Linked DNA regions of Oryzias latipes. The protein of the gene in region 1 interacts with the protein of each later gene in a biochemical or structural test. Links are inferred from orthologs where the notes say so. Each region holds a gene or a part of one and is shown in the gene's direction. Other genes may lie near its edges. The genes, in order: ccne1, arih1, fbxw7 and skp2.

Region 1 (7,643 bases):
TTTGGACATGCCGGGTGTAAACTGTATTGCGTTGGCCACGGCCTACAGTAACCACTTAATCAAGGTCTCAGCCCCTCGGATGCTACACTCCAATGAAATGATCTGATGAGGATTCATTCAGGTGTTTTTCTTTAACTTTAATACTGTCTTGTGGGGTCCAGATGACCCCCCCTTCCATTGACGTGTTCTCCCTACCATGACAAAGGTGGAAAGATTTCATGTAATCCATGGACACCAGTGAAGATCCCAAATCATTGAAGAAAAAAGGTTCAGAGCACTGTCTAGTGGGTCTAGATGACCCAGTCCCAATGTCACACTGCCTTCAAGGCTTCGTTTTGAATGAAAGCACAGGTTAGAGTGTCTTTGACTGTATCTGAGAACTGGAGCGAGTGAGTGTGACATCACCGGACAGGTCGCCGTCTTCCGGCACAGCCCTCACCTGTGCTTCTTTTTGATGTCGGTGAAGATCTGCACGTGCTCAGCTCCAATCTGCCGGCGGTACCGCAGCAGGTCGCCGGCGCAGGCGTTCAGGAGGCCTTCATCCGCCACATGGGAGAAGACGAAGCCCTCTGCCCGGACGAAGTCCAAACCTGGAACCACGCAGATGCAGAAGCGTCGCCGTCTACACTTCACGCCTTCAAACCCGCCGCCTTCTGCCAGGAACCAACAAACCTGACGCCAGGGCCACGGCCAGGGCCTGCCGGTTAGCAGAGGACAGGATCTGCACCCCGAGCGGCAGAGACGGACAGGCTCTCCTGACGGCAACACAGACCGCCGTCATGCAGGCGCACACCTCAGGACCCACGTGGAACGTGTAAGGAACATCGTGCATGTTCTCCACGATCAGACCGTCCTGAAACAGCAGCTGGCAGTCATCCCGACCGAGAAGACCCACGAAGGAACACCAGCAAAGACCGCACTCACCACCCCTGCTTCACGGTAGACATCTGCCTCGCGGCACGCCTCCTCCACAATCTGGGACATCGTCAGGCGTCCCAGAGGGGAACCTGAGTGAGAGGAGACGTTCCCTCACACCGGATCAAGTCAAACAACCCGATAGTAGGAATGGAGATCCAGTTTCTGGGATGAAACTAATTTTTCTTTTGATTTACTTTGAATTTTTAGAAATTCATTTAAAAAAACAGAAGCATCCTGGAAAAGAAGAGTTAAAACTGAAAGTTACTGCTGAGAAATAGATCTATATTTCTGTCTAGTGTGGAATGAAAACGCCTTAGAAAAGTGGAGACAGTTTGGTGGGAAACTCAAACTCCTGTCTTCATTGCTGAAACGGGAGACTTTACCTGGCAACGCTTTGACGTGAATCATTCCGATAACCACTGACTTCAAGCGTCCGAAAAGCTCCAGGAACTTCATGTTTGGGTTTGGCTGAAACTCCAACTGCAGGAACTAAAGTTCAGCTTCCACCGAGGGACCGGATCACGTGACGGAGCAAAGGTCAGGGGCAGAGGTCAGCGGCACGCCGCGTCCACCACGTCTGTTAGGATCCTTCAGCCAACGGGAGACGCAAAAAAAAGAAAGAAAAACAACAAAACGTCTCTGCAGAAAGAAAAAAGTTACTAAAGCATGAAGTCACTTTAACTTTGTCACATTTGACAAACACAAGCATTCATAGACACAAACACACTCTCTCACGCACACACACAGATACATCCAGACAGATATTTTTATATCTCAAACTCATGGAATCAGGATTTAGGAAACTATTTATTAAATTATGGAAAAAAAACATCTTCTTTTTACAGTCTTTTCAGACTCATTTTCCAAATGAGTGGATTAAAATATGAATCCATTTCTTTGCAGCATTAAAAGTAAAAAATGGGAAAAAACCTTTATTTTTAACCGCCTTAAGTTTTCAGTAGATTACATGTCGCTTGTTTCCCGAAGATCTTCTGCTTCCTGGAACAAAATCTTTAAGTGTTACAATGATCAAAACAGTAACTTAATCAATATTTGTTTACCCAAGTAAAGGTAATCAGTAAGGGGCAGTAAAGTTACTCTTAAAAGCTCAATTTAACCAAAAATGTGTAAGGTAAATGTAACGTGTTACTTCCTCTCTCGGCGTGTCTCTGTGACGCAGAGTAAAGGAGGGAAAAAAGAGACACTTATGTGGCTTAATAGGCGGGAAAATCTAAAAAATCTGCAAAAATCATCAAAAATATTCATATTTTCGCTGGTTTCCAGTCTTCTTGGCGGTTTTTCCCGGGAGACCGCGGCTTTGTTTACATCTGACAGGCTGGCCACGCGGAGCCGGCACACTTCCGGCCCGGTGGCCACGCCCCCGCAGCTGTCAGCGCCGCGGCCACGCCCCTCCCACAGCTGCAAAAGCGGGATTTTTCTTTCCCGGCGGCGGAGCAGCAGCTGAAGGCGCCAGCAGCCGTCAGAGCCACTCAGAGTCCCGCGCGCGTCCGTCAGGAGGTCCATGGAGGAGAAGGTCGCCAGTCTCCGAGCTTTGGCGCCAGTTTGAAGCGGCTCCGCCCGGAGGGACGCTCGGGTTTTAGGCGCCAGCTCCAGGGAAACCCGCCCGGCCTGCACAGGCTCTGTGAGCGGGCAGCTCCGCCTCTGACTCCCGGGGACTCGGAGCGAACTTCAAGGAGTCTCTTGGGGTAACTTTTCGCTTTTCATCGGGGTGTTACGCGCTGAAAGGGAACTGTGTATTCGGTGTCTCGGTAAGTCCCGCTCTGCGTGGCCGCTGGCAGGTAAAGTTCCCGCGGAGCGGCTGGAGTGATTGTGAGGGCTCCGGGGGGCTCGCGGTCCTCTGGGGGGAGGGCACGCGCCGCTTCTTGTTCTCGCGGGCTCGTGCGCCCTCAGAGCCCGCTTCTTCCCCGCCACTTCTGCGCCGGGCTTTGTCAGGAGGAGGCGCCGCTCGGGTGGGGGTTGGGTGTTTTCTGGAAGCCCGGAGCTAACGCTGGCATCCCCGCAGGTTTGCTCGGAGTGTGGGCCAGCGCGTCCGAGGACCATGCGAGGACAGCGGTGAGTTGCTGTGTTTTTTACCCCGCTTCCAGCGCTTAATATGTCGGGGGGAATGAGCCGCTCTGACGGCGCCGTCCGTCGGCGCAGCCCGGTTAGCCGTCCGGCTAACTAACCCCCGTGGCCTCCTCCTCCTCGGGGGCTAAACTCTGGGAGCCCGCGCGGAGGTTCTGGACGCTTCTGGACCACAAAGACACGTCTGTTTTTTCTCCACAGGGAGCAGAAGGAGCCCACGAGTGTCGCCCCCACGGAGAGGTCAGAGAGGAGCAGAAAGAGGAAGGCAGATGTGGCCATTGTACGTGAGCGGACCAGCTGGTCTGAACTGGTCCATCAGACTGGTTCTGCTCTCTTTATGGTCCGGCAGAACCTTCAGCTATGGAAGCCCAAACATGACAAAACTCACAAACCATATTTAAGGCCACAAAAATGGATCCATTTAGCCAGAAATTCTTTCCAAGACGTGATTTAAAATTATTTAAACTTATATTGATTTTTATTTCCAGGAGGAGGTTGAGGTTCTACAAACACCCCCACAAAACGGTTAAACAGATTTGCGTTTTAGTTTTCTTCGCATCCAAACTTGACACCATTTTTTTCCCATAGTTTCCATTGACTATAAAAACGGCTTTGGATGCTAAATTTGTCTCATGTAAACACGATAAAACTTTCATTCATCATTAAAAATAACGGTTTCTGCGCTTGGAGGAGGGGAGTTTTTGAGACGTGTCTAAATTAACATATTTGTCAAAACTGCTTTTTGTATTAAATGAGCCACGTGACCAACGACCGGATGGCGAGGTGCTTCTTGGTAGGAGCTGGCGGACTTGTTGCACGGCGGGCGCCACACAGCTCGTCAAAAGTTGAGCATCTCGTTGGATCCAACAATTCCACATTTCCCAAAATCTGTTTCCTCCGTAGCCCCTCCCACATGTGAGGAGCTCGCCACTCCACGGCCTGAAAAAGAGGCCGCCGTCTCCCTTTGTTCACGCCCGTTGGCGTGTTTTTGAATGACGTGTCGCGTCAGTCGCTTTGTGTACAATTGTGATTTAATGGAAACGGTGTAATTGCAAAAATGTTTATTCTGCAAACTTCTAGAATTTACATAAAGTTTGGCGCATGATTCAAAATAAAAGAACTGATAAAAAGGTTTGTTTGGTTTTTAAAAAAAAAGGACTTTATTAATTTATCTGAACGTTTGTCTCATTTTAAGATCGTGGAGACGAAACGAATAAACATGAGAACAAAAGCTACAAAAATAAAACTAGAAAGCTGTAAAAATCGTAAACACTCCAAATATGAGACGTGTTGGTCGTGAAATTTACTAAGACAACCTGATTTGTGCCAAAAAAAAGAAATTAAATAAATATGTTGATTCCTATTTAATCATTTCATATTTTTTTAAATATCTTTCTGTAATTGATAATTGATGAATGGAAAACAGAAGATAATCTGGAATCAAAGTTGTTTGAGCTTTTATTTTGATAGTTTCATCTTCCACTGTAGACATGAAGTGTGTCTTTCATCTGTGATGAAGATTTTGTGTTTTTGTGTCTCAAAGCTGCTCAGAAGTCGCCGTCAGTCGTTGTGTTTGCGTCTCAGTTCCTACAGGATCCTGACGAAGACGAGGCAGAGATGACGAAGAAGAGGCAGCATCTGGACTGTGAGGTGAGGCTCGTTCGACACCAAATGTGGCTCCAGGACGCCGTTTGACGCCGTTTCTGTACGGATGTTTCAGATCCAAGTCTGATCTGCCGGAAAGCTGAAAATCTCTGGTTGACGACCAGGAAACGGCGTCCCGTTTGCCTCTGAACTGCTGTTCTGAGCCTCTCTTCTGTGTCAAGGTGGACTGGAGCCCCGACTCGGACCGGACCAGCCCCCATCGGTGGACGCCGGAGCGCCGCCAACAGATGAGTGCCGGTTTCCTGCACCTCAACTTCCACAACATATTCGTGACCCCGGTCCACTGCGCCCCCCTGCCGGCGCTGTGGTGAGTGTAAACCCCGCCTCCCCGGGCTCGGCGCCACGGAGAGCCGCCGCTAACGGTCGCTCTGGCTTCTCCAGCTGGGCCAGCAAGGACGTGGTGTGGAGCAACATGCTGGCCAAGGACAAGAGCTACTGCAGGGACGTCCGCATGCTGGACAAGCACCCCCACCTGCAGCCCAGGATGAGGGCCATCCTGCTGGACTGGCTCATGGAGGTGGGTGCATCCGGAGGCGGTCGGACGCTCCCGCCGTTACCCCCTTCTCTGAAAAACTGAACGGCCGTGGGAGTGACGGTAAACCTGCTCTGCCGCATTTCTGCTGCAGGTTTTGCTGTGCGGCGTCTGAACGTTGTTGTTTTAAGGTCAGGATTTTCAGGAAAAACCATGCAGACCTTCAAAGTAAAAGCCTGTCTAGTGTTTGAACCAACAAACGGGTGACGGCGGCGTTTCATGGCTGCCGTTAACTGAACGTGCGCTAAGATGAACTGACGACGGTATTCAGGAGCTGAGTGAGCGTAAAGCTCTGACGGCGCGACCGCTGGGTTTGGGAGCCGTGTTCAGGGGGCGTGTATGTCGCTCGGGGGCGGTAACCTTTCTGGTTGATCTGATTGGCTGAAATTTGCAGGTCAAATCCCAGCGGGAGGAACCATCTAGAAATGAATGGGACCAAAATCTCTGATGGGGCTCAAAAGAATATTTCACCAATGAAACCCAAAAAAAACGTTGGTGATATCCAAAGGTTTTGAAATTATTATGGGATGGCTACACGACCTACAGCGTGTGGCAAGATGAGAAATGTGGTGTTTTTCCACATAGAAATGTTATTTTTCAATTGATCTTTGCAATATTTCCCCCACATACCGCCAGGTGAAGTCTACAACCACAACCCAAGTCATTTTGACCTTTTGACCTTGGGACAATCTTGAATTTTCCTAAAATAAAACAATCCCCTTTAGTACCTTTTTTCAAATAAATGTCAGTTCCTGGTAAGGTTTTCAGTCTGTTGCCTCCTAACTGCTCAAGCGTCATATGATTGTAGATTTTGAACGCCGTTGGCGTGGCAAGCTTGCAAAAGTGGCGTTCCCTTTTTAAATTTTTTTTTTACTGGAATGTGGTCAAATTTTAATACGCGAGTCGTTGGCTTAAGCAGAGCGAAAAGACATGACATACAAAATTAACCTATTGGGTTTGTGGGCGTGGTTAACAAAAATCCTCCGTTGCTAAGAAATTCCCCAACTTTACCTTTTATTATTCCACTAAAAGTCACACAAACCTGTCCGACATCTCCATAGCAACCAAAGCAAATGGTTGCTATGGAGATGAAACCAAGAGAAAAGCATAAGAATGTATTTTTACTATGAATTGTATCACATGAAGGGGGAGAGCGAGCGGCGAGTAGCAGCTGCTCTGACAGTGAGGGCGGGTCAAAAGGGGGCGGGTCCTGCCCCCATACAACGCCGCGCCCAGCTTCCATTTTTTTATATTTCTTCTGTCGGGTTAATCCTTGTTTGTGTTTGACATTTGTCTGCTTTGAAAACAGAGTGTGTTTAAATTTAGCTAAATGTTTTTACCCTCAAATATCAAGAACATCAGGAAACGCCCATTATAACCACTGCAAGCATTTTAGGTTTAACCAATCACTGTGTAGACGAACAGGCTCCGCCCATTGCAGATTCTAAAAATGGATAATTGATGTAGGAATCCCTAAACCCGTTTGTTTTATGTTCACACATTTCCAGGACGTTTTTGTCCCTTTTAGCTTTCCATACTTGTGTTTTTGTGCTTTTTTTCTTCACATAAATTGCAGTAGGAGGAGCTGCTTTGTCTTTTTTGTTTATATTTTCTGGCCTCTAACGTAAAGCGTTACCGTTTAACCCGGTTTGGTGTCGTCCCTCCGGCTGTGGTGCGTTCACGGTCCACCGCACCGTCCTGAACTCTGAGTTTTCCGTCTGCAGGTAAGCGAGGTCTACAAGCTGCACAGAGAGACGTATCACCTCGCTCAGGATTACTTCGACCGCTTCATGGCCACGCAGAGGAACGTGCTGAAGTCCACGCTGCAGCTCATCGGCATCACCTGCCTCTTCATCGCCGCCAAAGTGGAGGTTTGTTTGAACGCGGAGCCGCCGCAGGTTCAAAGCGCCCGTCGTCTGAACGCTCCTTGCTCCGCCCCTACAGGAGATGTATCCTCCAAAGGTGCACAACTTTGCTTACATCACCAACAAAGCCTGCACAGAAGACGAGATCCTCAGCATGGAGATCATCGTCATGAAGGTAACTGCGGCGCTTGTTCAGGTGGCTGCCGGACCCGCGGTTTGACGTCTGCAGGAAAATCCAAAAGTTACTTCTATCGGCTTTTTCTTTTGTACATCAAATGACTTTCTTAAAATTGATTTCATAAAAAATGAGTTGACTGAAAGAGAGACTAGTTCTTTTTTTAGATGTATTTGAACATCAGAGAAATGCTGCAGCACCACCCTGTGGCAGGAGGTCTGCATCACCGCCTGCAACAAAAGTCCTACATCTGAACCTGCTTTTCTCCGCCTCCACAGGAGCTGAACTGGAACCTCAGTCCACAGACTCCCATCTCCTGGCTCAGCGTTTACATGCAGGTGGCCTACCTGAAGGAGACCGAGGAGCTGCTGGTGCCCAGATACCCTCAGGCCACCTTCACACA
Region 2 (7,476 bases), on another chromosome or scaffold:
GAAAATCGCCTGGGTGTGAACACAAAAAACGTGGCGAAAAACGCTGGCGAATAACGCCTGGCGAATATTCGTCCCGGTGTGTACGGGCCTATAGTCTGGAGTTCATAGGAAATTCACCTCTGAGATGTGACTGTTAACGCGGGAGTAACCCTCCACCTATTTCCCATCCTCCCTTTGTTTACATTCTCTCCCTCTACCTTACGGCCCCTCACAATCCAAAGCTAACATTACCAGTGCAACAAAAAATAGCAAGCAATATTGGAGCTATCCAGCCGTACAGTTCTGAGCCAAAAGCCAACTTGGGCGAGGAAAATGAAGACATTAATGCATCTATTTGTTTACAGGTGGTTGCATCAGAATGGAGCAAAGCAGTGAGACTATGCCCCGCCCATTTCAGATGCTGTGTGCGTCACATTTTAGAGCTTTTTCAAACAGCTGCTCCTAATCCATCACAATTTGAATAAAGAAATGCTCAGAAATGCATTTTTAATCTTAAATTCTTTTAAATGTATCCTCCATCATGAAAAAAATACTAAAGAACATGTTAGAACATCAAAAACACAATTTCCATTGGAGTGGGTCTTTAACTTGTACGTTGCATGAAAAGCATTCAAACCAAATGTAGAAATATTCTAGTATTTGTAATGTTTCTACCAGCATTTCTTGAGTATTCAGATTATGAAAATGAGTCAGCCTCATTTGTGTCATTTGCCCTTTCACAATTCTGGTAGGAAATGTAGAAGAAATGTATTCTTGCTGAGTCAAACTAGGCCTTATCAGATTTATTCATCAGAGTATCAAAATTCTGAGATCATCTGGATGAATCCAATTCTTTTTCCATGGAGTGACGTGTTACCTTTTCCCCAAGATCCCGTGTGTCCCGGTGAATCAAACTCTGGAAGGACTCTTATGCCCCGCATCCTGGCATATGAGATCACTCTCCTCACGTCTGATTGTGTGTAGATGTGTGTTGCTGGATGGAAAGCCCCCTAAATCAGGACAGAGGCTTATGGTAAAGGCGGACGCTGATTTCCAGCACTCATATTTAAACAAATGCTTGGCCAACAATTCTATGTCAGAAAAGAAAGGCACCTCTGAAATGCAAAATAAAATCAATTTTCAAGTTAAAACTATAATCCAAGTACGGAATTAGGAGCACTTAGGCTTTATTTTGTTTGAACTTAGCAGCTTTTCTTATCTGTGTACCGCACCTTCTTAGAAAGTTCAGGAAAGGAGCGGCTCTGATATGGGAAAGATGGGTCATCAACGATGTGCCAATGGAAAACATTGAACTTACTGTAAGACATAGCATCCTAGCAAAAACAAAAAAAGTGCAATATTAAAAACTGATGGGACTTAAAGTTGAAGCTTGCAGTATAAATTATATTTAAATTATTACCAGAGTTTTTAAAATGGCATGCACTGGTAAATAATGGCGTGAAGTGTCCAGTAAAACCCCCCGAAACTGAAACCGGGGGAAGTCTTCGATGAACGTTTCATTCACAAAATACTGAAAAAGAAAAAAAAAGGAGAGGAAAAGCAAAACCAAAATGAAAACAGGTCTTTTTAGAGAGACTGTGCAGTTACTGTTCAAACACAAAAACTTTCTAAACTTGGAAAAAAGACTTACAGAGCCAAGATCATCTTGATACACCAACTGACTAAACGTTTCCAGACCTGTGTTTAAACAAACACACATGTACCTATTTAAATACAGATTTGTAAGTAGTAGATGAGTAACAACGAAAGTTCTTCATTTACTGGACTATTATAAATATGTATTTCCTCTTATGACAGTTCTCTATGCAAAATGTAGAGATCACCTCTTAAAATACCCCAAACTGTTGCTGCATTCAGGGATGCTTGTCCAGCAGAGACACTCAGATTGTCTGGAAAACCAACAGAACAATACATTTTTGAAGCTGTTTTCATAATCTCTTGTTATAAATTATAAACGTTGGTGGTTTTTTTATGTGAAACTCCATACTTACATCTCTCAGATGAGTCGTCATTGGGGTAATTCTCACAGTCATTGTGATCAGTGCTGATATAGAGACTGAATGAGTTATTTGCAGCTACTTCCAGTTGACCATTTTCTGTTGGTTAAACGCTAGTTTAATGATGCAGTTTCTTCAACTTTTACAGAAGTACAAAACACCACATTTAGAAAGTAATTTTTTCTCAATCAAAACATGGGGCTGGAGATGTTTATTGTTAAATGTTTCACAGATAGTCATAGTGACAGACAAGTGAACTGTTGTCTCTACAAAACCCATTGATGCACTTTAAAAAGGCCATGTGACAAGAAGTACATACAAAACAACACTAGTGAGCACTTTGTTCTCTATTTTTGTACCTATATAGTGCCCTACAACATCATCTGCTCTTGATAACAATGAGTTAAACAAAAGACAATAGGTAAAACTATTTAAATGTGACTAAAAGTTAATTTTAACAATAAAATACACAATAACAAAAATAGGCTACATTTAAATACAAATTAAAAAAAAAATCTTATTTTACATTTCAGGAACTCTTCAGTCCACCTACCAGCGGTGTAGTCTGGAAAAATAAGCAAGAAGTATCTCCTGAACGCAGCATCCAGAAGAGAACATCCCTGCTGTGTGGCTGAGTGTTTCCCATAATCAAAGGCAAAAGTTTGAGGATTTAACGGGTATTGTTCCACCGACGAAGTGAGCGCGTGCGGTAACGGCCACACTCCCTTTACTGCGTTCAGGCCAGCGTAGAAAATAATTAGCTGAAGTAAAGCGTAAATTATAGGGGCGCATTGTTTCGTATTTACTGCCCTCATGACTTTCATTCAAGCTAATTCCCCTTCCTCTGCCCCACAAACTCAGTCCGTCACCCCTGACAGGCAAGCGGTCACGTGGTCAGTGTTGGTATTATGAGCTCTGATTATTTGTTTACCAGTATCTGCACAGCTAAACTATGCCAATACCTTTAGGCCCCATCATTGGCAGTTGTTAAACAAAATCTGCATTAAAATTGTTTTAATTTCATGTATTCATACAGCCCTAGCTATTGGAAATTGGTGTTTGGATGAGAGCGGAGAAAGATAGTGTCAACGCAATAAAAGTTTATGTATTGTTTTTTTTACGAGTGCTAAATATATATATTTTAAATATATATTAATAAAAGTTAAAATCGGACGTATGATATGATTTATTTTTCTGTTCTATTTTAAAATATCTGGAAGTAAAAACTAAAGTCATCTTGTTCGCTCCAGCTGACGTAAGGCCGTCGTCAGTGGCTGACGCTTCGTCCCTTTGTTGGCTTAGCAGTGGCGACGTTTTGTTGTTATTTTTCGCTGCCGTTGAAAAACAGGCTCCAGTATTTTGATTCTCGCATTGTTCCGCAATCAACACCTAAGAGTTCAGACCGTTGGGTGTGCTCCTCACAAGCTGCTAAACAACCCAGGAATGGACTCAGACGAGGGTTTTAACTATGATGAATACGACGAAGAAGACGAATGTAGCGAGGTCAGCGGCGAGGAGCCCGACGACACCCTGGATCTCGGTGATGTGGAGTTGGTCGATCCCGTGGTGGCCGGCGGAGAGCGAGACGAAAGCGGAGAGACCGGTGTAGGTGGCCACGGCCCCGGCGAGGACGAGGAGGAGGACTACCGCTTCGAGGTTTTGACTGCCGAGCAAATCCTCCAGCATATGGTGGAGTGTATCAGGGAGGTCAATGAGGTCATCCAGGTAGGTATCTTGGTATGCCTAAGTCAGGAAAGACCGGGGTTTACGATTGTGTGAAGCGTCAACAGGCCACGGATGTTAGCTTTAGCTGCTAACCTCGCTGGAGGAGTTCACTTGCTGGAAGATGACTGTTCACAAAAAAGAACACTTCACTTTCTTTTATTTATGATAGATCATTTCGGTTACATAACATTGAACTAGACGTTTAGACAGTTACAGGTTCAAACAAAAATAAAGATGTTCACAATAGTTTGTTCCAGGAAGTAGTCTAATCCCTAAAGAGAAGTTGGCAGAAACGCCTGCTAAGCTAATGTTAGCTTTTTGGCTAGTTTATCGCTAAAAGCTCAAAGCTAAGCTAACACCTAGCTGCTAAACCACAACGCAATTAGCTGTTAATTGTGCATGTTTAGCATCAGATCCGAGATGTATGTTGTTGGAAGCAATTTTGTTTTCAGTTTAAAACCGACTGCACATAAGTTACGATAAGCTCTATCAACAATAATGTTGGCTTAGTTTAACGAATTAAGGCTTGGTCATCCAAGTGTTTATTTTTTATCAGGCTACTTGAGTTATGTGTTAACCCCCTTTACCACAATTGTTCAATGTCGTATATTCTTTTGACCAGAACAACATTTGAATATAATGACACGACCATGTTGCTTAAACATAGCAGGGATTGCTGTTCAGTCAAGTGGCATTAGGCCTCCATTTCCCCAGTCAGTCGTTTTATTTGTTTTAATCTTGGCTTTCAATACAAAAGCATGGAAACACTAAGTTTGGCAAATCATAAAGTTGGTTTGGTTGGACACAAATGACAGGTTTACAGCCGTGGATCCATTATGATGGCGTTGTATTCCAGTAACACCCATGGAAGTAAGCTAAATAAAGCAGTGAACCAAAACCACTGAGTCTTCTATTGACAGACAACAGCAGTGTTGCATTGATCATACAGGTTTAGGCTCAAATTTTTTTTTACATTCAACCTGAAGTTGATCTTTTTCAATTAAACTGATAGCAAACGTACAGCATTTTTTTCTTCAAATAAACCTGTTAAAGAAACAAGCATAAAAAGTGTTACAGTATTTGGTGCATGTTTCTCTCGCATAGCTTGGTTTAATATATATATATATTTTGTTTCTCCATATGCTAAAACAGATTTCTGTCTTTGACTATTTCTATCAGAGATATATTAAAGGAGATATTGCTGTTCATTAGAGAACAGAAAAATAGGTCCAACCAAACGCACTCAGCTGAGATGTTTAGTCAAATTATGAAGTTGCTCCATCTTCAGCAAGTATTTTATTTAAAAATAAAATCATTTACATTTAGTATTTCCTGTTTGGGTGCTACTCGTATTAAAGACAGAAAACGTGATTTGAGCACTTAATCATATTCTCAAACAGAATTTGCGTGTGTGTTGTTTCTGACCTGGCTTTCCATTTTTCAAACAGACGAGTTTGCTCTGTTTGGATCCTCTCACTGTTATATTTTTGGCCTTGCTTCAGTTTTTCATAACGTTATATTTTGGTCGAAATTTTTAAAATAAGTTGGAGTCTGCCTGCACTTTTTCTGTTGAAATTCAATCATTTCTTTAATGCCAATTTTGCCCCAATTTCCATCCAGGTCAACCTTCTCTAAAAGAGGTTTAACAGTGGCTCAACTTCTAAAATAGATTGTTTCAATTTTCATTGGATGTAGCAGATGATTCTATATGATATACACCACATTGTTTTGGGTAGTGCCTCTTAAAGTAACTAGAATGTTAACCTGTAACAAAAGGTTGCTTTACAGCAGCTGGGCGCCGGCACAGTTCTACCTGTTGGGACCTAAGAGGAGTTTTTCTACCTTTGTATTGTCGGCAAAAGCAGCCCCCTACTCGACTGTCATGCCTACCCCACGGCCTCTCCCTCTTGCCATGAACTTGTGTGCTTCACACCCACGACTAATGTGTTGAATCAATGAGGTTGACATCATTTAAGACAGTCCAACTTTCAGTACGCAAAACTTAAAATTCTCCACAATCAACATCTATTTATTTACATGTTAGCATATCTGCTTTTGTTAAACTTATAACATCCACCCACTAACTACAGATTTATTTTTTGTGTTTAAGACAAGATGCTCTCATTTACGTAATACATTCTAATTGGCTTAAAACGCTTTGAGTTTGATTGTCTTCTTACACTAAATAAATCCAGAACAGTTTTGCCCTTTAAACAGCAACCTTAATCTCTGTTGCTGTCTTTGCTGATGCACTTTTTGATGCATGCAACATTCTGATATTTAAGTGAATTCAGTTTCTTGTAGTTTTGGGGCTTTGCCTTTTTCTATTGGAAAACAGGACTTGTTGACCCTTCCGTGAGTGGATTTGCTTTCTTAGTTTTTCATTAGTTTTGATGTATTTGTTGTTCTAGAAAATTATATTTTGCTTTGAGAAATCATTTTGACCAATTTTGAGGGAAAAAAATATTTTATAAAAAGTTCTCGCCATGCACCAATCAGACATTTTAGGTTAAGCAGCTAAAAGTTGGATTTTTTTTTTTTTTGCATTGGCAGTTTTTACCAACGATGCAGACAAATTAGTAAAGACAGTGGGAGAGGAAGAGACTGGGTCTGGTTATTTTTAAAGGGCCCATATCATGCCTTTCAGAGTAAACTATATCCATATATATGATGATATATTACCTTTGGCACACTAAAGAACATTATTTAAATGAAATGAGTTCTTTTCGCAGCTCATTTTTCTACCCAGATAACTCGATCTCTGAGGCTCCGGCTTTGGCTCCATGTGGGCGCCGCCCATTTCATGACGGCAACCTGGAGTCGGCCTCGGCAGCGTGTCTGCATCTCGCCCACGAAAACAAACATCCGAACTTCTGCACAGATGGATGTGCAGATAAAAGGACAGCGTTTTAGCCAGAAACGGCTAGCTCCATGGAGACAGTGGATATGTGTGTTAGCCTGGGGGCGGTGCAAACCTTTACTTCCTGAATTTTGGAGTAGAGTATTTGGTTCTTATTGTGAAGTCCTCTACTTCAGGAAAAAAAATTTAAAAAACTTTTTATTTTGTTTTACAAATGGGTTTACACCAACTGTTGTTGTGAAATATTTGAATAAATCTACTCTTTAAAAATCTTTCTTTTATTTTTTTCTGCTGATATGAATTGGAAAAAGCTTTTGTGCTGTTGAGGCGGAGATATAACATCCTCTCACCAAAATAATTCTATTGACACAGCGCCTTTTTTGCCTTGTAGCAGGAGTCAAAAGCTTCTTGGTCTGCTGAGACACGAGTCTAAAAGACTCCTGTATCATTGCAGATTTTTTGAATTAGGGGACAGAAGTCTGTTTAACGAGAAAATTTACATAGGTATGTTTTAATGAAGTAGGAACAGCCAATTTTTAATTTCACTAAACAATATTCTCAGTTTTCAAGTATTTGAACAGTTTCGATGTTAAAGCAGTATGTATATTTATACAGCAACACAAATATGAAATTGAAATTAGGAACGAAATACAGTAAATGTTGAATAAGCCTATTTATTGTGAAATCAAATTTAATAAATAACTTGTAATTTCTTGCTTTTTTAGAACCCTGCTACAATAACTCGCATCCTTCTCAGTCACTTTAACTGGGATAAAGAGAAACTTATGGAAAGGTAAGAAGTTCATAAATATTTACAGTTCAAGGTTAAAACAGGGCCGTGGAGAGCTAAAGGTGACCTGAAAACAAGATGAAGTGTTTCATTGTTCTAAAAAC
Region 3 (7,357 bases), on another chromosome or scaffold:
TGGAAAAATTCTTTCCTTTCATTTGAGCTAAAACTCTTTGACCACATTGTGCTCCTAACAGCTCTCGTCATGTCTAATATGATAACTTTTTATTTTTTTTTATTTACAGGCCATTGTTTTCTGTTGTATCTATCTCAGAAATCTCTTGGCGTCAGGCGGATTTTTTTCTAACAAGAAAAAAATGTTAGACTTCTAAAAAAAAGTCAGTTATAAAACTTGAAACTAAAAGTGTGATGCATCATTTGCTTCTGTAATTGATCAGTAGTTTCAGCTTTGTCTAAATTGATAAATTCACAGTCTAATATTTTGTCTGTGAGATCTGAACATCTGATGTTCATTTGTGGTCAGATGATTTGACTCACAGGAAAGGACATGGAGGTGAAACACTCCAGACAATACAAATAAGAAATAATGCTTTGGCAATACTTTCCCCTTTTTTTATTAGCTTCCCCTTTAGATTTCCAAACAGCAACTCTGCACAGACCAATAAATCTGTGTTCTTTTGTGTTGATATGCCAAATAGACTGGTTTTTAAACAGATATGTCAGACTTTTGGCAGCACTCTCCACTATTGTGACTAAGTGTGAGAAAACTATGTAAAAAAACAGTTTTTTACATCCACATAAATTCAATTTAGTTTTAAACTTTATGAAGACAATCAAACATTTTACAGGCCTACAAACTGTTGCTTTTACACATTTATGAGCACCACAGCTTGTCAATATGATTTTCTTTTGAGAAAGTTCAGAATTCCCGAGCTGAACAATGCAAGCTTTTGAATCAAATTTCTTCCTGACAAGGTGCAACCGTAACAATCAAAGATAATGATGATTTCTAGTTAAAATAAGTAAATCTGACTAACTAATTTAATGTATTTAAACATATATCAAAATTGAGATAAAATGTGTGAAGCAAATGTGTAAGATTGAGATGGTTTGGACACTTTGAGAGGAAGGACAAATGATTATGTTGGTGAAAGGATGCTTAGATGGGAGCAACCAGGAAAGAGGCCGAGAAGAAGACCAAAGAGGAGGTTCATCGATGCGGTGAAGAGAGACAGGAGACTGGATGATGTGAGTAAGGAGCATACTGAGGAAATGGTTTAATGGATGCAGAATTAGCCTTAAAGGGAGCAGCAGAAATACAAAAAAAGAGTAGAGTAGTAGAATATTTTGGAGTCTATTTGATTTGATCCTGTTTGTGGATAAGTTAATAAAAAAAACGTTTACGGAGGTTTTTCAAAGTTAGTGTCTGATCAGAGCAATCAAACAAATGAATGTTTTGAGCTAGGGTGGAAAACTAAATCAGGCAAAAAAAATTACACAAAGCAAAAGTTAGCAAACTGTTTGATGAGAATAAGTTAAGTTAGCTGAGAAACAATCAGAACAGTTGGACAAAATCACACGAACTGTACTTGTAATGTTTGCATGTACTTAAAAGTACAGAAACTTTTTTTCTGTAGTTTTTTTTTTTCCTGAAGTATAATATGAAAAGATATCCTTTGTTTCTAGAGTGTTTTTTATTTAGCTAAATAACTGACTCAATGCCAATCTCACAGTATCACAGAACTTCAAGCTTCCCAGGATCACATTCAGAGCTTCGTGATATCTCAGGGTTTCAGACTCTCCCTGGAGGATCCAGAAACGGGGCATAATAATGACCTTGAGCCAAAACTAACCATCGCTGACAATGCAAGTTTAACTTGAGCTGCACACTAATCCACAATGGAAACTAGAGTTAATGAACTACAATGATTTGATTGCAGCTTGTACAATCTTGATAAACCTTGTAACTTTGTATTTAGTTGTCCTATACTGTTCTTTATTTTCAAGTATAAAAATATATCAAACATTTGTGTTTGCAGGTGTAGAATTACTTTGTAAAATGATATAAAAAATCCCAGTACAAAAAGAAAACATTGTTGTTACTGCTACTACTTATAATAATAATAATAATAATAATAATAATGACAATAATGATAATAATAATAAAAGCATTATTACTACCACTTTGTTTAAGGCTTCTTTGAATAAAATTTGTCATAACAGTTTTAGTATACAAAATAAAAGATTAAGATGGAAAACGTTCTGGTCCAAAAAAGAAAAACAAAAGTTCAGCAGGCACAACAGGTGTAAAGGTTATGAATAGTTAAATATATGCTCCAAACGTGTTGTTACTGTACCTAGATTTCAGAAATACTGCATTTATGTGTATTTTTACTTAAATAATCCAATTTAAAGTAATTCTATGTATATTTTTACCTGTTGGTGATTGATATTTAAAAACATAAACATCATAAATTGTTGAACAGCATGAAAATTAAAAAAAAATTCCTATAGTAAAACAGGAATACTTTTCATTCATGACCATACTGAAAACGTCATTTGAAAGCGCACAGAATAAAAAAAAAAAAAAGTGACGTCATTTATTTGCGACAGTGTGTCCAGTCGGTATAGAGAGCAGGGAGTTCAGCAGCATCCCTGGCGCTTGTATAGGAGCTTTAGAACGGATTATTGTTAAAAGCTAACCAACAGCTTGGTCTCTCCGGGTGTGCTTTTCCTCATATAATCATCGGACGTCATCCTTTTTTGCTCAGTGGAAAAAACGAGCCAATGGTTCGATGGAGACACTTAGTTTGAAGCAGCTGCTAACGTTAGCGGTGTTTTACTAGCCAGCTAACAACACGAACTGGGGATGTGGAGGCTAGTTAGCTGCAAATGCTAACTTGTTAGCTTCGTTTAGTTAGGTGCGAACTAACTGCTGCTGGGAGCTGAGAGACGACTGAGGAGCTTCTACCTCTGAGGTTTACTTCAGAAAACTTTAAAGGATATATCCGCTTGGATTCCTGGCCACTGGGGGTTGACAAAAGAGTCCTGTCCCGCCTATGTCACCAGTTTTCAGGTAAATACAGCTCAAAAGCAGGATAACAAGTGTGTTGTGCTCTAATAGTTGGACCACTGGGCAGGGGCCTCGCATTGACTGGGTACACAGAGCTAGCAATTTACTTGCGTGCAGTCTGTTAGCATCGCTAATGCTAGCCAACTTAACGCTACTGCTAAGTGTAGCTTGTTTTGGACGAAACTGAAAATGACAAACCAGTTAAGCAGGCGATCAAGAAGTTTAAGTGACCTACTAGAGAATATGGTTCAGTTTGTGATGTTTGAGTTTATTTTTCTTGCTAAATTATGAGCTTCCCCTAAACGGCACTTTACCCTGCAAACAAAAAGTGCCAAACGCACCGTGTTACCATGGCGAACCGCGTGTACTCGACAGCTTTCCACCTTTTTTGTCATTAAAACAAACTTTTTTATTCACACATTCTATCGTAGAGATGTTAGATTAATTCATACAAGTCTGGATAATTAGGAAATAACCTATTTTATCATGGTTTCAACCAAAATTGAAAACTCATCTCAGAACACATGCATTAGTTAGTGATGCCTGTGTTAAACCTTAATATTTAGAATTATTAATGGATTTTAACTTGTGTAGTCATTAATAAGCAGGATCAAAACACAAAATTTACGACGAACAAGCCTGCATAGTGCAGGGAAATACTAATTACGAAGTCACTGTTCATACTAATTGAGTAAAAACTCACAAACATAACAAACAGATGAAACACGTTTGCACAGTAATAACTTGTTGTTGTTAGTTTCTTACTAACTAACTAGACTAAGTTCTTAAGATTTGAAATGCAAGGACGTTTAAACATCCATTTTTTGTTTTAAAGTTCAGTACAGATTATCTGAAGGAGAACAACTTGTAGGAAAGAATTGTAGATAAACTTGAAACCAACAGATTATTGATTTAAGTTCTTAAAGACCTAACTGGATAATAAGCATCTTCTACATGATTAATTGATAAATTAAGTTAGATGTAGTTCAAAGGAGTCTTGACGGATTAAATTATAACATAGCATTGTCAAATAAATCCCTGTCATGCTTTTTGCATTCAAAATTCATCTGCAAAGAAAAATGTAGCGATCAATTCTGTTCTTTGCTATCCAATGGCACTTTTTGTGCTCTATTAAGAATACTAAGGTAGGCTTTTTGTGAAAATTTTACTTGCAGGGTTCATTGATGATTTGTCTTGGTGTGTAAAGCCTAGACAGAGTTCTCATAAAATACAGAATAACATTTGTCTACATTTAAGCAACACAATGTTGTCTGGTAAATCAAAGTATGTTTGTTTTTGATAAAACTTCTCATTAAAGGCAGTTATTTTATCAGTTTTTGAACACTGCAGCTAAATTTGACGCGTCAATTATACTCCTGAAATGCTAATGTAAATACAAGATGCTTTCTCACGATGGTCATGCTATGTTGGCAAAGAAAAAAAAACATGCTTCCCAAAGGAGCGCCGTTCCTCTTCAGCAAGTCACAGGTCAAGTGGGTGTTATAGCTCTAATTTGTTGTGTACTTACACTCTGGAAGGTGTATTCACTGAAAGTGTCGTTACTGTCCCACTTAGTGCTGCATTTGACCTATTCTCATGCATTCACACAATGCATGAAGGTGATAAGAAAAAGTACGTCCTTCTGTGATGCTGTAAGTCACAGAGCAAAGCGATTTAATGCTCAAGTTGTGTGAAAGAGGCTCATAAAACAACACAAAACGTTCCTTTACTTTTCTTGTGTCCTTACTTATTTGTTTCTTAAAGATGAATTTTTGTCCAAGGATGTTTTGTGTGAATTGCTTCAGATAAAAAAGTGAATGCCCAAAACACAAAGTTCAGCAGTTAATTGTTTTGTTATTTTATTATTGTTAGTATTTTTGTTACTTTTGATCTACTTTAATAAAATTTGGAGTAAAAGTTGAAGGCCTTCTAAAACATTCCGCCTTTTTCATATTAAACCAACTTTCTAGTTATAAATTTTAGATGTTGGACAGTACAAAACAATTGTTTTTCTGCAGTAATTTTATTTGACATGCATATTAATATATAGGTCATGGTCATGACCATGACTGGTATCATTATTTGTTCAATTTGATTATTATTTGGAGCAATTTTTTTATAGTAAACGAAGCACTGATTAAGAAATACTGTTTTTCTTTTGTTGGAACAACTAATAAATTTTTTTACTTTTTAAAGAGCAATAGGTTAGCACATGACGTCCGTCTTTTTGTGACATTCTGTATTTATTTTTGTGTCAACTTTTGAAATGTTGACAGCTGGTTTATATTTAGTAGAACCAATGATCTCAATATTGATTTATTTCTTTGAAACTATTTACCTGATGAACAGTTAAATTTCTCTTAACGTATTTGCTTGTTCCTCTTCTTAACATGTTTGAGGCACTGGTTATGATTTGAAAAAGGGACAAAACACATGAATCAATAACAGAGCTGGGCGATACCTCGTAATATCTATTGTATAACACTATTGTTTTCACATGAAAACTAGGTGAAAACAATATTGCCTCCTACACCTAATGTGTTGTCAGTTTGTGTATTCTTTCTGATGATCCCACAGCTTATGTTGTGAACACAAACTGTCCCTTCCCTTATTCATGCAACACCTATGAGGCTGCAGGTAAACTTACAGGATTTCCTCGTTGTCAACCAAATTCTTGAGTAACACAATTGAAAAACATTATTTCTTTAATTAAGACTTTGTACAAAAAAGGCAGCTTCAGGCAGAAAATGTTCTGATATCAAATCAATATTTAATATGAACAATCTAAACATTTTATGCTGCTCCTACAGCCCAGAGTGCATGAATGAAAACAATAGGATTCTTTAAGGCAATAGGATGAGGAAGAGAAAGTTTCCTTTGAAATTGGGAAAAGCTTTAGCCACATTTAAATCCCAATTTTGAACCCAATCTGTCTGATTAAGTTTCGTGAGGTACTAACTTATAAATCTTTGTGTTTGTCTGGAGACCCAAAACTAGTTTTCCAGATCCGCTGCCACAGAAAAATAAAATATAAAACCATTGATTGTATAAGAGAACTGGATTGAGTGTACCTTTCCTCCTTGTGTTCCAAACAGAAAAAAACGCTGGCTCTAAAAAGCCAAATCCCATAACTGTCTATTGAGAAATAAACAGCTATTACTTTTTCATTATATTTGTCAGAATACCCACTCTTGCTCTGCTACCTTTTTCTGAAGATGGTCTTGCTAATCCCAAAATCCCCCCCCCCCCCCCCCCCCCCCCCATTAACATTAGTTATTTGTTTCAAGTTCTTCAAGTTATAAATTGGCCAATCAGATGCCTAAATAATGCCATGTGCTGCCCGCTGGCCCCCACCTCGAACGTTCGAAAAGGTTGACAGATTTTCCTGAGCCAGCTTTCACTGGAAAGGGGCGTGGACTTCCAATAAGTTTGCTAATGATTGGCGACAGCAGTTCTCATAGAAACTTTGATTCAAACTCTGACTCGGACCAATCGTTGTGTACTAACGTTGCCTGACCCTCCAAATGACTTCCTTTGTATCGCACAAAAATCGGTCCAGTTCTCATATACAGTCAATGGAATGAAACAGAAAAATGGGTGGGGCTTCAAAAACTAGTTTCTTGAAAGTCTCAACAAGTCAATATTGATATACATAGCTGTTTATCATCCAAATATTGTATTAGGAAAAAAAATATATTTTTGTGTCAACTAACTATGCAGTTCCCCGTGCTTTAAATCATTTTATTTTACCTCAGTAGCTATGTCTTACTCTCACACCACATTAGAAACAAGCACTCTTCTTATGTAGCGGGCCTTTGCAGAGTAATGCTTTTTGGTCAGTCATTTGATTACCGTTTCTGTGCCGCTTTGAATGCACAATGAGACTACCGGAGATTTCTTATAAGAATGTGGGATTCCTCCGCTGTTGTGAAAGACACTCTGCTTCACATCTGTGAGGCACAACAACCTCTTAATAATTCAGAGCTGTGCCATGTTGCTCTTCGCTGCTTAATCAACAGGAAAAAAAAATCTCCTAGTCATATTGCTTTGTTGTGGTCCAAACTGTGACAGTACAAGAAGAAGAGGAGCTTTCTTAGTAGAAAAAAGAGACAGCCGGTTTAACTGTGCCACAGTTCCAAATAAAATCAACAAATGTATGTGAAAATACTATGCTGTTTATGAAGAGCATTTTGTTTTTTCATTGCCAAAGTGCTGTTTGTCAAAGGCTGCCTGTTGAGGTGTTACTCAGCAGCTATAAAAAAAGGTTTTGCCAATGGAGACTGTTTAACTTCTGAAAAAGTCACTGCTGCTTAATAACTCGTGTAACATTCAGACCTGTCATTAGAAGAGTTAAAAATGGCTGTCGTGTCCTTGAGTTATGACTGATGACCTGTATTGGAGGCAATGACAAGTTTTAATGCAGGTGGATTGATGTTTGGTTTGTAATGCATGTATCATG
Region 4 (7,515 bases), on another chromosome or scaffold:
CCCCGGTGGTCAAACAGCTGTCCCCCGCCCCCCCCCCCGCCCCCCAGCAAGGGGGCCAGGCCCACCCAGCCCAGGGGCCCCACCCCCGGAGGCGCCGACACCCCAGGCCCAGCACCACCCCCCCCCACACAGAGAGAGAGGAGCCAGAAAGCGCCGGCCCCCCCCGGAGCAAGCCCAGGCCCCCACCCCCAAACGCCGGCCCTAGAAGAGCTCTGGTCAGGCCTCGACGGGACCGAGGCAGCCAACCGGCCGGAACTTTTTTAACATAAATATAAATAAAAACAGACAGAGACATTAATCCAGAATAACTCAAGTTAAAGCTTCAATAACGTATCATATTTTGCTCTCCAAAAAAATATATTCTGTCAAAATTATACAAATATGAACATGCTGTAGAACAAAAGAAACAAAGCCTGGAAATATTAATAATAAGAAATTACAAATCAAAAAATTCCGTTTTCTTTGCTCTTTTATCATTTTTTAGAGCTGGACTCCTGCATCATTTTAGCAATAATTTCTTGGTGTGTGACGTCCTGTGTGTGTCTTTATGAAACATATCAGAGGGATTGGATAAAAAAAAACTTATTGTGAATATTATTTTTAGGTCTTATAAAACATTAAAAAAACTAAATCATAGAACTCATCAGTGGGATTACTCCAAAAATATTTGGCTTTTCCCTAATTTTGTGCAACACCAACAGTAGAAATCCTCAATAAACCTCAATCCATTAGTTTATTTATGATCTCATAAAGTGCACCTGTTCTCCTGCTGTCTTTATGTCAAATACTGACACCAACTAAATGACAGAAAAGACACGTAATAAAAATATCTACAATAGTTGGTAAATAATGACATTATTAACATGAGCTGCTGAGTGATCCATCAGCATGTGATGATCCAGGTGTTAAGGTGGGCTGCGCTCCTCGCAGCCTGCGCCCACCACCCCTCCCCTTGCTTCTGACACACGTCTCTATGACAGGAGCGCGCAGCTGCGGCCTAGAGTTGATTGTTAGAGTGAAAAAGACACCAAATCACCTATGTTAGTGTGATTCACCCAGCCACCGGTGAGTTGCACCCCCCTCTCAAATTTTTTGACTTGTTAGGTTCCAAAACCTACCGCAAAGAGGTGTGGGCGCAAGTGTCTTGCAGCGGAGGGCGGCGGTCACGTGCACGTTGGGTCTGCTGTGTCGGAGCAGGGAATTGTGGGAAATAATCCCCATTGCCTGCTCTGATCGAAATTGGGTTGAGCACGGGTTTTTCTTCTGCGTAATTCCTTTTCATGTGGATGTTTTACGTTGTTTCACTCTTAGTTATTAACCATAAGTGTGGAGAGGGGAGAGGATTAACAAATAGGTGCAACGGTCTCTGTCAGACGTGTCAAAATAAAAGCGTAAAGTGTTGACTGCTGCAGGCATGTCAAAAGAAAAGCTGAAAGACTCCTCTTTGACTTAGGTATTCCCTTTTGTGTAACATTGCCGGCACAGAAAATGCTGCTCCTATGAAGTGCCTGGGCCACCGCCCACCTCGCCCATATCAAAAACCGCCACTGCGCACACGAGTGCACAACAGTACGAGCACAATTGAATAATCTAATACGAGCGCAAGGAGTACTAATCTACATTCAAAGTTAGGCCCAAAACATTCCTTTTTGGACAGGCTCATTGCCAGACAAGCTAGTAATCAGAGAATATTAAACTTACATGTTTAAATTAAACTTAACAATAACAATTAGTTTTTAGTTGGCTGCTAGAAGTTTGAAGCTGGGTAAACTATGGTGCGTTGTGGTTCTTTCCTTTATTCTTGTCATCTCCTCTCCATCTCTCCTCTATTCTTGATCCTTATTAATCATTTAGTTCTCCATGCCTCTGTTTGGTGCAGTGCGATTCATGTACTCTCCCTTTTGCTTCCAGATACCAGTTGGCTCATCCCTGCTCCTGTACCTGACCAAGTACCTCGTCTGGGGCTTGCCTCTACTACTGCTCCTACACTTGGCTGTGCATCCTGTCTCCGGCTCGTCTCGTGCCCCCATCCGCCCCCCAACTCAATCTGGATGAAACTCATCTGCTGGACTTTAAATATGTAGTTGTTGGGTTTGGTAAGCTCATCCTTCTCTAAGAGGTCTGGTACATCGCCTGTCTGTCCTGGGGGAGGATCCCTCGTTCATGTTGGCACCCCAGAGGTTTCTTCTTTTTCAAATCAGTTTTTCCTTACTGCGCAGGAGTGTCTAAGGGCAGAGATGCCTAGCTTAGTTTAGTCTGTTTAGTTAGCTCAGTTTAGTATTTTCCTATTAAATCCCATGTACTCATGAACCTTTTGATTTTATGTTTACCTTATTATTACCTGTACGAAGCCCATTGAGATGACTGTTGTTGTGATTTTGGGCTATACAAATAAAATTGAATTGAATTAAATTAATCCGTGCGCACGGTTTATCAGATTTTAATTCTTTTTTAATCCCTGGCACCTGGAGGGCTCCGTATCCCTACGACCCCGTGAATATTTACAGTTTGTTAACAGGGATAATTTCGTATTCAAGACAAGCAAGAGTTGCATTCAAAACAAAGACTAATCCTGTTCAAAACAGACACGTCAAATTATATGTGGTATTCATATTTTTTTATTTGAAGTTGTGCACAAAGTATTAGTTTTGTATTTATACACGTGTTTTGTATTGACAGTTATCTTACCCAATACTCGCCCATCTTGTTTTCTACTTCACAAATAAAACATTTTCTGAACAGCATATTTTTCTCTGTTCATTAATCACAAAGATGTGAATAAAGAAATACTCAGAAGTACAATTTTTAGCCTAATTTAAAATAAAAATATCCTCCATCAGAATTTATTTTTTAATTTTTTATCGAAATGAGGTCATTAAAAGGTTTTCTTATGTGGCTAGAGAGTAGAAAAAACGAATTAAACTTGAATGCCACATCGTCCGCAAAAAACGTAGGACGTGACGTGACAGACGTCTGGAACGTCATGACGTCAGTTGAAAGAGGGCGCCTCGCTGCTGGCGGCGAGTTTAAAGAGTCCCGACTGGAAAGAGCGGCATCCATCCCCGCAGTTTAAGGCGCCAGAGAAGATGTCCAGCGACAGGTACGGACTTCACAGCTGCTACGTTTAGCTAAGAGACTGCTTCGCTATCAAACACATTTACAATCCTTTCTGTTATTTAGACTTTTGAAATGTTTTCGCGCGTGCATCTCCCATCACCGTTGACATACTAGCCTAGGTCGCTCAGATCGCTCGTGTTAATCATCTTTCGGCATTTCTCGGATGCTGATCGCGGTTGTTTTTGTGGAGAAATCTGCTAACATCATGTTGTTGTTTAGTGAGTCGCTGATCCAAAGAGATCTGCCTGAAAACTCAAGCTGATGACCGATACCGCGCTTTTCTCCACGCAGGCCTCCACTCTTTTCATGATTAACTTTATTCATTGGGGTCATCTGTGGCTGAAATTCCATTTTCCATTTCAAACCCCCAGCAGTGCTGCATCTGTGCATTTTGGAAGATAAATGACGGCGCGTTTGTTTGAAAATTTGCGCGGTCCCGTCGCTTGTTGTTGTGTCCACGTCAAATATGGCGGGCGCGCACAGATCCCCGTCTTGAAGGAGCTGGTGAATCTGTTCCTGCAGGTTTTCTGGTTCAGATCCACGCAGCACTGACTCATCCGAAGGCTCGAACTCTATCGTTTCCAACTGTCTCTTCTCCATCCAGCATGCCCTTGCGGGATCTGCCACGCGCGGGCCTCCAAAGCCACGCGCTGTCTCAGTCCGCCAGGCTGCACAACAAGCGCAAGTCCAGAGGCCACCTGAGCCAAGGCCTGGACACCGAGTGCACCCCAACAGAGCTCATCCAGCAGTGGTCCCCCCCACAGAAGCACCAGAGAACCGCCTGCAAGGGCAAGGAGAACGACCAGCACACGTTTGTCCTCGCCAGGAGACCCAGGAGAAAGAAAGACTTCAGAGGAGGTGATCAGGCTGCTGCTCAGAGGGCTGCAGGGCTGGGATGTCAGCTGTCTCACTCTGTTCTCCTTCAATCCTACAGGCATTTCATGGGATCATCTGCCAGACGAGCTGCTGCTCAGGATCTACTTCTACCTTCCTCTTCAGGACCTCCTTCGAGTCTCTTTAGTCTGTAAACGCTGGCATCGTTTGGCGTGAGTCTCTGTCACTGAATGTCACACAAATATGCAGTCCAGTTTCATTTTCTATTTTAGCCCCAGTTTCAACATGCAGATTTATTTGGTTTTTCAGAATTTTCACTCTTTTTTTTAAATTACCCACTCTGATGAAAATGCCGTTTTTGACATGTTCTCGAGCCATTTTTCAGATGACGGAGGACATGAATGAAGAAAATCAAGCTTAAAAATGCATTTCTGAGTATTTCTTTAGTCAAACTGTTGTAAATAAGGAGCAGACAAAAAAATGCAGTTGGAAAAAGATCGTATTTGTGACGCACTGCAGGCGAGCCAGAAGCTCCCTGTTCCGCTCCATTCTTGATGCATTCGAATGGATCCATGTACGTCTTTCTGTTCTTTGTCCGAGCGAGCCGGCATCTGCCTCAAAACTGTATGGCTCGATAGCTTTAGTGTTGCTCGGCGCCAACAGTCCCGCCCACAATTCAGAGGTGAATTTCGAATGAACTCCTGCTGTCCTTTTGTTTTGCCTAAAAGCAGCATAATCCTGATCAAAGACCCCTCAGGATGCTTAGAAAATAGATCGGAGTGGGTTTTTAACTTAAAATAGGTTTTGAGATTCTGATGAACATGAAAGACTTCAGTACTACAGATGTTCAGTCTGCCACACAGTTTTCATTAGCTTCAACCCCAGAAGCGCCTCTTTGTGTGTGATGATTGTTTGCCGGTGTGAGAGCACTCTGCTTGTGTTTTCATCAGGTTTGACGAGTCTCTGTGGCAGAGCGTGGATCTGCAGGGTCTGACCAACATGGGTCCAGCTCTGCAGCAGGTGCTGAGGACCGGAGTCCGCCGCCTGCGCTGCCCGCGCGCCTTCGTCGAGGAGCAGCAGTTTGCAGGAACAGAGTGAGCTTTGCAGATGGTTGGACCTAGGCCTGCACAATAAATGGCAAATTTATTGCTTGCTATTATCATCGCAACATGGATCACTGATACTGCAAATTGCACGTTTTCCTCATATCATGCAGCCCCAGTTGGACCACAACCATCTGGTCCAGTTTTTTTTTTTTTTTTTGCAGACCTGTTTTCCAAGCACTATCCTCACTTTTTAGATGCTCAAGCTGAGCGATTAGACACGAAGACACACCAGTGAGCCACAGACGCCTTCCTTCACTGCAGGACCTTTTCTCTTTTTGTCCAGACCTCTGCAGCTGCTGGACATGGACCTGTCCAGTTCCATCATCCCCATTTCAGCTCTTGAGAGCATCACCTGCCGCTGTCTCCGCCTGGAGCGATTGAGCCTGGAGGGTCTGCAGCTCTCAGACAACATCATCAGGTGAACAAATGGTTGTAGTTTGGTTTATATCCACCATGCTTCAGAGTCGAGCTTCTCTTCAAGGCCTCCGGGTGCTACTTTGCCGTTCACGGTTGGTTTGGTCATCAGACTCATGTCAAACTCTTTGTTGCAGGAGTCTTGGGAACAACGTCGGCCTGCAGCAGCTGAACCTGAGCGGCTGCTCCGGCTTCTCTGCTTCTGTTCTGGCTGACATGCTCAAGTCCTGCTGCAGGTCAGTGAACGCCTCTAAAAAAACGCACAAAACTTAAAAATAAAGTAAACTAATTCATGTATGTGATGAGTTGATTTTGCATGCTATATTAGTGTTGTCATTGTGTCCTCGTGGGTTTTGTTTTGCAGGATAGAGCAGCTAAACATTTCATGGTGCGGCTTCAACAAGGACCACGTGAAAAGTGTTGTTAGTAATGTCAGCCCCAGAGTCGTCAGCCTGAACATCAGCGGGTACAGAGAGAGCCTCACGTTAGACGGTAAGCCGTGGAAACCTGATTCCATAGGAAGGGGACTCCTCCATCAGTTCTACATCAGAAGTGCCTTCGAGGAGAAATTCGACTGACGGTTGATCACACTGGTTTTTACAACAGCAAAGCTGTTTGAGGCTTTGTTTGCTTAACCAACCAATCCAGAGGATGGAAACAGAAATCAGACAACACAAGCTGTTATAGCTTAGTCACAACTGCCCTCACGGGTCTATATGGAGCATGTGGGGGGGCCCGCACATAACGTCAAGGTTGTAGATCACCCAGTGAGCCCATAGCCCATCTTCAAATCCTCCAGTCTGCACATAAAGCCTGTTAGTGCTGTTCAAATGATTAATGCTGTTATAGTTTAGTGTTTTCCTTTTTAATCGGATCTGATTTCCACAAAGTCTGTAATCAGGACCCCTGTTAGTAAAGTTCTTTCTTTATTTTTACATTTAAACTCAAGGTGATAATGCATACAGGGGGAAATGGAAGTGTGACCAAACTCTATGCATTACATTTTTTTAGTTTTATTTTCAATTTTCTTTTCCTGCAATGCCAAGTGTGATAGTTTCTGGGAATAATCATGAAATCTTTTTGCTGTCACTGATGGGAATGGCGTGCGTGTTTTACAGATGTAAAGATCCTGGTTGACAGATGTCCTGAAGTTCAACACCTGGATTTGAGGTACCGTCCCGCTCCAGCCCAGAGAAACAGAAACACCAGATGCGTTCATTCAGAACTGCTCTTCATTAAAGTCCCACTCCGATCATCTATTGTAAAAGGGTTCCCAGTTGTCTTTTAAGTACGCTTATGCTGTTTTTAGCAACAATCAAAAGCCTGTGTGGTTCTCTAGGACACAGAGCAGTTATATAGAAATCCACCTCTGAGTTGTGGATGGATTTGTTGGTGCTTAATTATCTTTATATATCTCCATCATGAGAAAAATCCCACAAAAACATTTTAAAAACACAGTTTTTAATTGGAGTGGGTCTTTAAGTAAAGGGTTCTCCTCAGATGAACTGGATTCCTAAGTTCTGTCTCTATCAGAATTTCACTAAGTCTTTGTGTTTCAGTGACAGCACCCTGCTGATGGCTGACAGCTTCCTGGTTCTCAAACAGCTGAAGGATCTGCAGCACCTGTCCCTGAGTCGCTGCTATCACATTCACCTGGCTGCTCTCACGTAAGTCCTCACCTGGAGCTGCAGGGTGGATCTTCAGCGTCCTCCGTCCTAATGAATCATTGCAATGAGAGAGGATTGGACCACAATGGACCATGCTCATTAAACATGAACCAGGATATTCAGTTGGTCCTTCTTTTCAGTCACCTGTAGGTGGTAAAATTAAGTCTTTTTTAAAATTTGATTGGGATTAAATGTAATCGTCACAGTAAGCCGTAAGGCTGTAGCTTTGTCTCTTTACAGTTCAGTAACCCCTGACTCATCATTCTTTAGATGCATATAGGATCATGTGCTCTGTTCTTTGTTTAAATATAAGCTCTTTGCAGAAAAAGGGTGGAAATGTGTAAATGCTGATTGTTGGCTGAAAAGTGAAAATCTGG

What was found.
Region 2: of the proteins of ccne1 (region 1) and arih1, one has a biochemical effect on the other in vitro, tested with the Homo sapiens proteins (3 studies listed by BioGRID). The link is inferred for Oryzias latipes from reciprocal best matches to the Homo sapiens genes CCNE1 and ARIH1.
Region 3: of the proteins of ccne1 (region 1) and fbxw7, one has a biochemical effect on the other in vitro, tested with the Homo sapiens proteins (18 studies listed by BioGRID and IntAct, with this or other methods). The link is inferred for Oryzias latipes from reciprocal best matches to the Homo sapiens genes CCNE1 and FBXW7.
Region 4: the proteins of ccne1 (region 1) and skp2 form a complex in vitro, tested with the Homo sapiens proteins (2 studies listed by BioGRID, with this or other methods). The link is inferred for Oryzias latipes from reciprocal best matches to the Homo sapiens genes CCNE1 and SKP2.

Annotation. Positions count from the first base shown.
Region 1 is NC_019861.2:36,306,097-36,313,739, reverse strand, and holds the start of ccne1 (G1/S-specific cyclin-E1), read left to right. Parts: upstream 1-2,516; 5' UTR 2,517-2,624; intron 2,625-2,941; 5' UTR 2,942-2,977; coding exon 2,978-2,991; intron 2,992-3,204; coding exon 3,205-3,283; intron 3,284-4,587; coding exon 4,588-4,653; intron 4,654-4,829; coding exon 4,830-4,975; intron 4,976-5,049; coding exon 5,050-5,185; intron 5,186-6,924; coding exon 6,925-7,071; intron 7,072-7,144; coding exon 7,145-7,240; intron 7,241-7,518; coding exon 7,519-7,643. Other genes in the region: uncharacterized protein F13E9.13, mitochondrial, read right to left, coding at 440-590, 673-853, 925-1,007, 1,302-1,374. UniProt on the Homo sapiens protein: Essential for the control of the cell cycle at the G1/S (start) transition.
Region 2 is NC_019864.2:16,685,668-16,693,143, reverse strand, and holds the start of arih1 (E3 ubiquitin-protein ligase ARIH1), read left to right. Parts: upstream 1-3,250; 5' UTR 3,251-3,440; coding exon 3,441-3,722; intron 3,723-7,307; coding exon 7,308-7,375; intron 7,376-7,476. Other genes in the region: beta-hexosaminidase subunit alpha, read right to left, coding at 857-989, 1,212-1,313, 1,400-1,510, 1,631-1,677, 1,824-1,889, 1,992-2,096, 2,551-2,821. UniProt on the Homo sapiens protein: E3 ubiquitin-protein ligase, which catalyzes ubiquitination of target proteins together with ubiquitin-conjugating enzyme E2 UBE2L3.
Region 3 is NC_019859.2:19,475,945-19,483,301, reverse strand, and holds the start of fbxw7 (F-box/WD repeat-containing protein 7), read left to right. Parts: upstream 1-2,433; 5' UTR 2,434-2,901; intron 2,902-7,357. UniProt on the Homo sapiens protein: Substrate recognition component of a SCF (SKP1-CUL1-F-box protein) E3 ubiquitin-protein ligase complex which mediates the ubiquitination and subsequent proteasomal degradation of target proteins.
Region 4 is NC_019870.2:24,273,768-24,281,282, reverse strand, and holds the start of skp2 (S-phase kinase-associated protein 2), read left to right. Parts: upstream 1-2,980; 5' UTR 2,981-3,086; coding exon 3,087-3,100; intron 3,101-3,721; coding exon 3,722-3,975; intron 3,976-4,051; coding exon 4,052-4,163; intron 4,164-4,901; coding exon 4,902-5,045; intron 5,046-5,340; coding exon 5,341-5,475; intron 5,476-5,608; coding exon 5,609-5,707; intron 5,708-5,835; coding exon 5,836-5,963; intron 5,964-6,589; coding exon 6,590-6,641; intron 6,642-7,030; coding exon 7,031-7,138; intron 7,139-7,515. UniProt on the Homo sapiens protein: Substrate recognition component of a SCF (SKP1-CUL1-F-box protein) E3 ubiquitin-protein ligase complex which mediates the ubiquitination and subsequent proteasomal degradation of target proteins involved in cell cycle progression, signal transduction and transcription.